2 linked regions of the Caenorhabditis elegans genome follow. The protein of the gene in region 1 interacts with the protein of each later gene in a pairwise test. Each region holds a gene or a part of one and is shown in the gene's direction. Other genes may lie near its edges.

Region 1 (5,148 bases):
CTACCGAGTTGGACACACATCAAAGCCTCGAAATATGTTTTTGAACTCCATATTGAACTCACAATTCGAAAACTCAATTTGAATGCAAATCCTTCGAAAAAACAATTTCCTGTTCCTCTCAGCTTAACAAAAAAAATTCCAGTTCTTTGAGTTGCTTGCATTTCATTATTCTAATACCAAAAACACAAATCCCGTTTCTACCGTGCCCTTTAGTTCCGTGTTTTCGAACAATATTCGGCACTTCTGTTTTCAGTCAACTTAACATTTCCAGCAATATTATTGTGTTGTTGGTCGCTGGTCATTTTTTTTGGTGCGTAACTTTTTTCCTACAGACCAGGAGCAAATATTTGTATAATAGTGAAATAAAATGAAAGAAGACCCGCGAAGGAAGAGAATAAATATTTTTCAATTTTTTTTTGAAAATAACTGTTTTTCTCCAAAATGATCAGAGATTTCAAAAATGAAAAGAAGAAAAAAAAACATATTTGTTTTTAGAAGGAAGTTGGTTATTAAAGTTGGTGAGGTTTTTTCAAATAATGTGAAAAAACAGTGATGTTTTCATTTTTAAGTTTTGAGTATGGCGTGGCGCACCTAATAATTTTTTATCCGTACCGAATGTTAAAAAAATGTAATATGTAGGTACCACTTTAGCATTACAACTGTTAAAATTATAAATCAAATTTGGTCATGTTTTTTATTTAAAAAATAATAATCTGAAACATTTAAAGACTTAAAGATTTAAAGATTTAAAAGCGTTTAAAGACTGGTAAGAACATCGACATGAATAAATGAGACAAAAATTGGCCAGACCAGACTTTTTAAATTTGATTTATATTCAAAATCTTATAGAAAAAAATATTTTTACTTCTTCTCAGATTTGATTCCAGGCAAATTATCTTGCGTTTGATTTTTTTTTCTTGAATTTTTTGTATCGTGGTCTCCAAAACTTCAACACTTTTCTCGTTTTGCTATAAACTACTTGGGACTTAAAGTAACAGTTTATATATTTATTGATGAAAATTTTTTGTTCAAATTGACAAACAATTTTACGTGTGCATTGTTTTCATAACCCGCTTTCTGCGGAAGTAACTTGCCAGCCACAGTTTTGTTTTTCGAAGCACCCAACATGTTTTGGGCACTGCAACTCACACGCCTACGTGTTACATCATTTCCTCACAAATTTCTGATTAGCGTAACTTGTAAATCTATAAATACCTGTAAACATACGTTGAATTGCAAAAAATTCTTATTCCCATAACTTTTTTCTTAGATTTCTAGTTTCAAATGTCCTTCCTCATTTCAGTCTATTTTCGATTTTCATTCATTGTTGTGTCTGCTCCACACGAATTCCAATTTCCATTTCATTAACTTTTTGTTTACAAATTCAAAAGATCTTTTCCTCGTTTCGTTTTATTTTGTTTCAAAATTAGATCGGCACCATGCAATCCAATTTTCATGATTTTTCTTTGCCAACTTGTTCATTTGTTTCATTTCAGTGAATTTTTTTAATGAAAACTTGAGGATTTGGGAGATAAAAAACGGCTGAAAAAAAAATCGGAAATTTGAATCGAAAAAATTAAATCACGAAAAAAGTGGATGATATTTGAATACGTTAAAGAGCAAATTTGGGGGATTCTTTTTTCAATTTTAAAAATAACTTCTGAAACTAGTTTTATGATTTAAAAAAAATTGTTGTTCCGTGTTTTATTTGTGGAAAACAAGGTTAAAAATAACTACTTAAACATGTTTTTTCACATGTATACATATATATATATATATATATATATATATATATATATATATATATATATATATATATGTACCATATTTATATGCATTTTCAAATTTTGAAGGCTCTACAACGATATGCCTTTTGGTGCAAGATTATATGATTGCGAATGAGTATTTACAAGTTTTTTGAAAAATAAATTTAGTCTGATTAGTAAATTAGTGCGCTAGTCTAATTTGGTTTCAAAAGATAATGGCTCCAGTTGATTCAAAATTATTCAAACGTAATCCTGAGCTGTCACGCCCATGGTGGAACAAATGATTCACTTGCATTTGCAAAAATCTTTTTTTATGCAAGCTTCTATCTTTTTCTTCTTCTTTCTCATCTCTCTTGATTTCCACCCAAATGTCTGACAAGTGGCTGAGTGATCCTGCTGAGCTCAATGAGCAAGTTTTTGCAGAGAACATTCTTCCTCCCCCTTTCCCCTGGATGAGTAATTGCCCTTGTTTGACTGAAGGGCGGAGTCATTTCTGAGAATATTGAGAGTATAAGAAATTGCGCGGCACTCATTTTTCGTGTTTCAGCTGACCAAGTCATGGAGTGGGTTTTGATGTATTCCGGAAGACCGTCATCTTCAAGGCCGATCAACCGAAATGCCGAAAGTTCAACTTCAATTGCCGAAAAGGAGCGAAAACAAGCAGAGGATTTTATCAATGATAATTTGGATGTTCCTTTGGAAGAGCTTGCTGCTCAGAACAAGGAACTTCAAAGGCTGAAAATTATTGAATATCATAAAAGTGAGCTATTTAATTTTTTTGTAACAAAATTTTCAACAAGTTGGTGATATTTCATATTTTCTGTTGCAAATAGCAATCATTCGGTTTTTTCACTCATAATTTTGGAAGTCGACCAAAAAACGGGGTTTCAAACAAGTTTTAAGCAAAATATTATGAATCTATTTTGCTTTCTTGTATTTGAAAATCAGAAGGGGTTGAACTTGAAACAATGCTTTAAAAGAAAGTGTAACATTTTAAAATTACCCCATCCTAAGACCCTACTCTATCTCTAACGAGATACACTATTCCATCAGCTCATTAACTATGCAACAAAAAAAAACAGTCTGCTGGTAATATTTTGTAAAACTGCAAATTGACTAACTTTCTGTTTTTCTACGTTAAAAGTGCTCTGTTGATCATGCTCAGGAGGGTGTCTTTAAAGTAGCCCAATTTTTTGTTGAATCTAGGTATCAATAAATCAGTTACAAAGTACAAATACTTGAATTTCAAATTCCTATAAATAAGTTTAATGTTGCAGCATAAATCTCTCATGCTTTCCATTACAAACATCACTTTTTCATGTGCCTGTGGGAAAATCCATTTTTGGAATTCTTCGTGTTCAAAAGATCAAATGATAGACTTCATTAATTTTTTTTTTGTTTCTGAAACGTTTTCGCGGGTACTTGTTTACCATATTTATACTCCTGTATTTTCAGTGAAAGCCAGGAAATGTCCAACACTTGACGAGCAACCACGTGGCCCGGATGGGAGAATTATCTTTTCCGAAGAGTACATTGATTTCATGCTTTACCGTGATCTTCAGCCACTAGTAGATCTTCGAATTCTCAAACACACTGAGATAATCATCCAAGAAAGAATTCGCGAGCGTGATGCAGCAAAGAAGGGTAATTTGTTGGATTGTGTACAGGTAAGAATATACTTTGGACTTGATAAAAACCAGCTGACTGTTCCATTTAATTCATTCTGATGTTTGAACATTCAATTTGAACGTCTGTTAGAGTTTTCTACTAACTTTTAGGCCACCATTTGTCTATGCTCTATCAATTAAAAATCACAAAGCCGAATTGCATTTTTCTAATTTAATTTTGTTTCAGGAACCAACGACCTCTCCCACCACTTGCCCAAAAGCATGAAGTGGAAAACATCAAGGACATTCAAAAATTTCATTGCTATGTTTTTAAATTAAAATCCACAAGTAGTTTTCAGTCCAAATTATTAATTGTAAACGCGTGAAAAGTGTATTTTTTATGAAAAAAAATTTTTAAGCTTCCATGTAAACATAGTGATTTGCCAATATTCTATATTTTGAAAATTGAAATAAAATGTCAAAAAATATTTTTGTAAAAGTGTGACCTGTTAGGGACGGTTTGAGAAATAGCTCCCCAGCACAAATATCTTATCAGAAATAAATTTTGCAAGAAAGTGTATCGCTTCATATTTCAATGACACGCGCAACGAGATGATTGATTATGATATAAATTTTTTGGAACAGTACATTTTTCATATCTCTTGTTATCAGCAATCACCTTCTCGAATACAAAGTTTCATCATCCCGATTCTCACATTGGTTACCAACAAAATTACACTTTGACATTTCGATAAATTCAATCTCTGATTATTGGAGAGGGCTGAGTGGATGGGGGAACGCTTACATATATCTTTCTTAAAAATGCAGTAATAACGACAATCAGTCATGTGCGATTGGTTGGACTATGGCCAACTTTTTAGAAAACAGATAGACCTCATGCTCCATTGCCTTGAAATCATGGTTGCGCAGCTGAAATTGCCCAAATTGCCGATTGCCGGAATTGCTGATTGCCGAAAATTAAAATTCCTGGAAATATAAATTTGATACTTTTTGTAGACTTAGAAGCCTAACCATGCATTTAAATAAATAAATAAAATTTCCTTTTCAAGCTCAAACTGTTTTGATCCTTTAAGATTGAACGTTTTCTATTAGAAAGTGACTAACCGAATACTGAAAAACAAACTGAACTTTTGTCATGGTTCAAAATATAATTATGATTAAAAATTGCCAAAAGTGACCGGCAATCGGCAATTGCCAGAATTACCGATTGCCGAAAATTTCGGTAATTGCCAAAAAAATTTTGAGAATCTGGAAAGACGCATTAGAGTCAATATGCTAGCATGTAACTACATATGTATGTGAAAGTTTTAGTATTCGCTTTAAATTTATAAAAACTTTCTCTATTCTTTTCTGGAACAAATGTCAAAAAAGTTGTTGATGATTATCTATTGCTCAAAGACCTTCTCATCTTTCCAAACTTTTGTCACAGGTTGAAGAGCGACGCGTGTGCGGTGCGTCCCCCCATCTCATCAATTAAATCCCGCACAATTTTTTGAGGCAGTAATCTCACGTTTTTATTGGATTTTTGTCGCATCTGCGTCAATCAAAACTTCTATTATTTTTCCATAATATTATTGATATTTATTACAAATGGAGCTTTCTGATTCATATCCTAGTACTAGTACAAGTCAAGTACGGTTTTCCAGTGAGTGATTTTTTTTAGTTTATTATTTAAAAAAAATTGATCTCAATTTCAGTTCCAATAGAAGTACCTGGAATCAAAGTGGAAAGCCAGGACGATGAAGAAAGTGGAA
Region 2 (5,213 bases), on another chromosome or scaffold:
AATTTGAAGGTGTCATCTCGAAATCAGTACTTATCGGTTACTCAAATGCAGATAAACTCACGATATTCTCTTCTTTTACTGGAGATGATGGAACTACAGTAATCTTATCGTCCTATGGGTATTTAAAGTAAGGGAAAACAGAATGAACATATTTTTTAAAGTGAAATGTCTTATGTGTAGATGGCTCAGATTTAGAATTTCGAATGAAAATCGTTTCATTTAAGATAGAGCCTTCAAAATAAGTCCCCAAAAACAATTTAGCGGCTGAGCAACACTTTGAATTGAAGAAAAAAAGACTATCTGAAGTTATGCAGTTTAGTTTTTTTCTACTGTTTCAGAGATCCTTAAAATTGCTCCAAAAAGTTGATTTGGCGCTTATGAATTTTACCGAGTTGGTGAACATTCTGGTAGCTTATTGGAGTTTTTTTTCGGAAAAAAACGTAATTTTTCACTCGAATCGTTCAAAAATGTTAAGTTTTATCTTTAAAATTTGTTTAGAAGACACACCACGTAGTTTCTAGGTTCAGAAAACATCTTAACAACAACATGAGAAGTGGAAAACAATTTTATAAGACAGTTGTTAAATTATTTATTTTGCTTTCAAAAAGTGCTCTTCTACCGCTAAATGTTTGATAGTGACCACATTTATACGTACTCTTTCAAATAAAATAGATTTCAGTTGAATGTCTGAATGTAAGCCGAAATCACTACTTTTTGCAATGTTTAAATATTAGGGGTCAAACGTTGGTCAAAGATCGGGTGACTACTCCTGAGCAGCAGCTCCATTAAGCTTAGTGAGCATTCCATATCTATAATTATTTTCAGCCGACGTGTCTACTGTCGTTTATTCGATGAAAATAGGCAGGAAATCTATCAGAAAGCCGTGGCAGTTTTCCCCGAATTAACAATAAAGTGCTCGGAGAGTTCCTCAGTAAAAGCCGAGTTCGTTGCTGTAACTATAAACAAAAAGGATGTTCCAGGGAATATGAAGCAGATTTACAAAGAAAAAGAAACAAAGAACAAATCAGAGTTTACTGTATGTCTTGCTCCACTTTATGGAGAATCTCCGAAAGTGTTGATGTTGATGGAATTTATTGAATATTATAAGTTGCAGGTTAGTGTCTTGGGGTTACGGTAGAGTAGTTATTTTTAGAAATAAAGTGCATTTCAGGGCGCTGACCATTTTCTAATTTACTCATTCAACATCTCAAAGGAAACTGAAAATGTTTTGGATTTCTATAGAAATTCCTCAAACCTTGAAGTAATACAAATGGGAAATGAAACTAAATGTCTAAATCGTCATAGATGCAGACATGAGATGCAGTTACAGGTTTGTTTCAATTATTTTAATTTAAAAATAAAATTAATTCAGGACTGTGTATTCCGAACTCAAAAGTACTCAAGCTGGGTGGCAACGGTTGATTTGGACGAAAGGATCATGATGATTGATGAGAAATCTACTCTTTTAGATTATATCAGGTTTTCATTTTGCTTACTTTTTTATCCAACTCTCTATATTGACAGAAATTGCAATGATCATAAAATCTCTGAACTACGTTTTCGTTGTCAATGGACTCTTCGATATTCTGAAATTTCTTCTGGTGCTCCTCAAATTGAGAATCTTCCAATGATTACTTGGCATAACACCAGCCACGTGGCACCGCAGAATCATACTACAAAATCGATTATTCGGTCCCGAAATGTTGACTCGATGGGTGTGCACGGAGTTCAAAAGTTCCGAAATCCGATCTATGGAGTCCGACTTGTGGAGCCAGAAATTGCAGTTGTCCGACACTATCGATTGATTAAAGGATGGAGTTTCTTTTTAAGAGAAGCCGAATCTTTTGGCAACTTTTTCCATTTTCAACTATCTCCTGGTTTATCTAGTCGTATTATTGAAAGGGTTGCAAAAATTATTGCGAAATTTTAGAACATTACGGGTTAATAAATGTTTTTGATTTGTTTTGTTTTCTGTATTTTGATGTATTTTTGAGAGAATAAAAATATTATACCAAACATTTTGCGTCGGAATACTGTAGCTTCTCGGAAAAATATTTTTGAAGCAAAAACATGTTAAGTTTTTTTTTCAAAATCGTGAATTTTTAACGACAGCAATAATAATTTATTTCGTAAAACACATATTTCCTCATTTACTGGCAGTTTCCAGCAAAAATTACAGTCATTTCACAATTTTAATTCAAAAATTCTCAGCGGGGCGCACTTTCATATCTGTTCCTTGTCATCGTTTTGCACCGTTTTCGTCCTTCATCACGAGAATTTCTCGAGTTTTAGACAAGTTTTTACACTTTTTTGAACAGCTGTTGTCGAGAAAGCTTATAAAGTTAAAGTTAAAATGTTCTACTTCACAAATTCTCAGGTTCCATTCTTTTAACTTTCGAATCTTTATTTGAAAGGACAAAAAGTTTCCCGAGAGAACGGTTTTGTGTAATTAATTTTTTCATCGATTAGATGCGTTTATGCTCTAGAGATGCAGCGTTTTCATTTACAAATACGCAAATGTTCTTCGATTTTTTCTCATTCTTCCTTTTTCAATCTCATTTCTCATTTATTCTTCTAATTTTCAGATGTCTTTCCAAGTGAGCGTAGCCGTTAACGATGGACCATTCCAAAAGAAAAGTGTTACACCAAACACAACTGTTAGTTTTAATACTTAAATGTAATCTTTTATTCAATTTTTTTGCAGATTGGTGATCTGAATAACGACGCAATACTGATTTGGAAAGATACTGCAATTGTCTACGATATTTCGGATGAATCGAAGAATTTTGGTCCAACAGTGACATTAGAGGTAAATCGAATTGTTAAAGAAAATCTTAATCATACTATAAGTTCAGCAACTTGGCGTCACTCAAATTTCAATGGTTTACATATATACCACTGCGTTCCCATGTCCGTCTGGAGATCTCCGATCGATCGTTCCAGCACAAGTCCGGCTCATCTCGCAATTCGCTTCAGCTGCGTCGAGTATTTTTAATGGACAATCGTCTTCCTCAGCACAGTCTGCTCAGAGAACACGGAGAGTTGAACAAGATGATGAAGGTGAAAAATCGATGTTCTCTCGGAAACTTTTGGATTCTCCTGCGACGTTCAAAGCGCTCTCAGAAAATATGTTCTTCCGTTTGAAAAACGAGCCACACAAATTGGGCTACGGTTTGCCGGAACTTGTTGAACGCTTTTTGGCGAAAAAAGATATGACTTACAGTGAGTAGCGCATTTTTTAAATCTTTATCTGACGCCTATCTAATTTTCAGAGGAATTCGAGCAAATGTTCCGTTCCTACGTCGAAGAAGAAGTTCACAAGGAAGAAATTATCAAAAACAATCCAAATTCAGCAGAAGCAAAAATGTTTTTGGAAGCGAAAAGAAATAAAGAACTGATTGATGAACAATATTTACACGTAAGTTTACAATAGAAGCCTGTAAATATATACAAATTGTTATAATTTCAGTCAATGACCCACCACCCAGAAGATATGATTGCCGTCACAATGCTCTACATCAATTTGACTATAAATGGTGTTCCAGTCAAAGCTTTCATTGATTCTGGAGCTCAAAAATCGATCATGTCAATGGCATGTGCTGAACGTTGTGGTCTTAATGGATTAATCGATAGACGGTTCCAGTCAATGGCCCGAGGAGTTGGTGGAACAGAGAAAATCGAGGGAAAGATTCATTTATGTGAGTCAAAAGTTTCCAACATTGATTCACATTCATTTTAATAAATGTTTTCAGGCGATGTGAAAGTTGAAGATGCTCACTTTTCATGCCCATTCGAGGTAATGGCTCGTCGTGAGATGGATCTTCTCATCGGGCTTAATGTGCTCCGTAAGCATGGGTGTTGTATTAATCTGAAAACTTCACGGTATGTTTCCCTCACGAAAATCTCGCGAAATCTAAATTTTTTTTTCTTTTTGAGATTGGAGTTTGGCAACGGAACAACAACTCCATTCCTTCAATCCAATGAAATTGATTCTCATCTGAAAGAGATTATGGCACTTCCTGAAGAAGAAATGCAATTCGAAGATGGATCCACATAGTTCCGCCCCTACAATTTATCCTTCAAATCTCCTTGTCTTTTCATCAAAAACATTTCAATGCCACTTTACTTGTATTTTCTTCACTGCAAATATTATACGGAATTCTTTTTTTTCTGCAAATACACTCTTTCTGTGCGTATCACTTCTTTTTTCTCCATGGAAACTACCACGAGTTGTTCCCATGGGAAATTCCCAGTAAATATCTCAAATATATATTTTTTTTTCATTTTCGCTGTCCATTTTGTTGCCACAGGCGTTTTTCAGGTTGTATAATAGATTTTGTAAATAGCAGCAATGTTCAAGCTGAAGAACGGACAAGAAATTCCGAAATTGGCTCTCGGGACATACGAAGCCAAAGGTGATCAGGTTTGGAATATTTTTTATTTTTGAACTTCGTTATTTTATTTTACCTTTTTTAGCTTTTCGCAGCTGTCGACGAAGCACTCAAAGTTGGATACCGTAGTTTCGACACAGCGAAGTACTATGAAAATGAAAAGGATTTGGGTTTAGCTCTTAAAGTATGAATTAACGAAATAAAACGCAAACATGCTTTTTTAGGAAAAAAAGAATCTGATAGAAAATATATCATTACCCAGACTCGCGTTTTGTGCCAAACATACGTTACGCGGTCTCGGCGCGGCAAATGTTTGCTAATTGCGAAAAGGTGTGCGCCTTTAGAGAGTACTGTAATTCCATTCTCTTCACGTTGCACCATGAATTATAATTGATTTTCGTAGTTTTTCTTAATTAAAGACACAACCATTTTTATCATTCGTGTGAAAATCAATAAAAATTCTGCAGAAACGAAAGCTTAAAATTTTTTACAGTACTCTTTAATGGAGCACATCTGTTTGTATTTAACAAAAATTGTCGTTTCGAGACCGCGTACAGTAGTTTTAGCGGAAATTTTGTCATCTGGGTTATACGCTAGATCGAAAATATTTTTTTGACAAACAACTTTCAGACTCTTCTCCCACGTCACAATATTTGTTCTGAGGATATCTACTTGACATCCAAAGTGTTTCCGTATTCAAGTAAAAATGCTGCTGAGCTAATCAGAAAAGATGTCAATGAATCACTGGAATTGTTAGATAGAAAGTAAGAAGAAATATCAAAATCTATTTAAATTTCCTATGAAAATTTCAGATATTTGGAT

What was found. The genes of interacting proteins can lie anywhere in the genome.
Region 2: the proteins of M03B6.1 (region 1) and ddi-1 interact in a two-hybrid assay, tested with the Caenorhabditis elegans proteins (one large-scale study listed by BioGRID).

The regions. Positions count from the first base shown.
Region 1 is NC_003284.9:13,839,304-13,844,451, forward strand, and holds M03B6.1 (uncharacterized protein), read left to right. Parts: upstream 1-2,306; 5' UTR 2,307-2,324; coding exon 2,325-2,526; intron 2,527-3,221; coding exon 3,222-3,433; intron 3,434-3,620; coding exon 3,621-3,659; 3' UTR 3,660-4,019; downstream 4,020-5,148. Other genes in the region: M03B6.5 (uncharacterized protein), read left to right, coding at 4,985-5,039, 5,092-5,148.
Region 2 is NC_003282.8:6,520,289-6,525,501, forward strand, and holds ddi-1 (Protein DDI1 homolog 1), read left to right. Parts: upstream 1-2,578; 5' UTR 2,579-2,585; coding exon 2,586-2,657; intron 2,658-2,704; coding exon 2,705-2,809; intron 2,810-2,855; coding exon 2,856-3,222; intron 3,223-3,272; coding exon 3,273-3,418; intron 3,419-3,469; coding exon 3,470-3,698; intron 3,699-3,752; coding exon 3,753-3,882; intron 3,883-3,936; coding exon 3,937-4,057; 3' UTR 4,058-4,283; downstream 4,284-5,213. Other genes in the region: gtnt-2 (Glycosyltransferase family 92 protein), read left to right, coding at 1-127, 826-1,114, 1,172-1,330, 1,373-1,479, 1,525-1,930; C01G5.5 (NADP-dependent oxidoreductase domain-containing protein), read left to right, coding at 4,352-4,423, 4,477-4,575, 5,022-5,155, 5,204-5,213. UniProt on the Caenorhabditis elegans protein: Aspartic protease. Required for the cleavage and activation of transcription factors such as isoform a of the transcription factor skn-1, which in turn regulates the expression of proteasomal subunits such as rpt-3.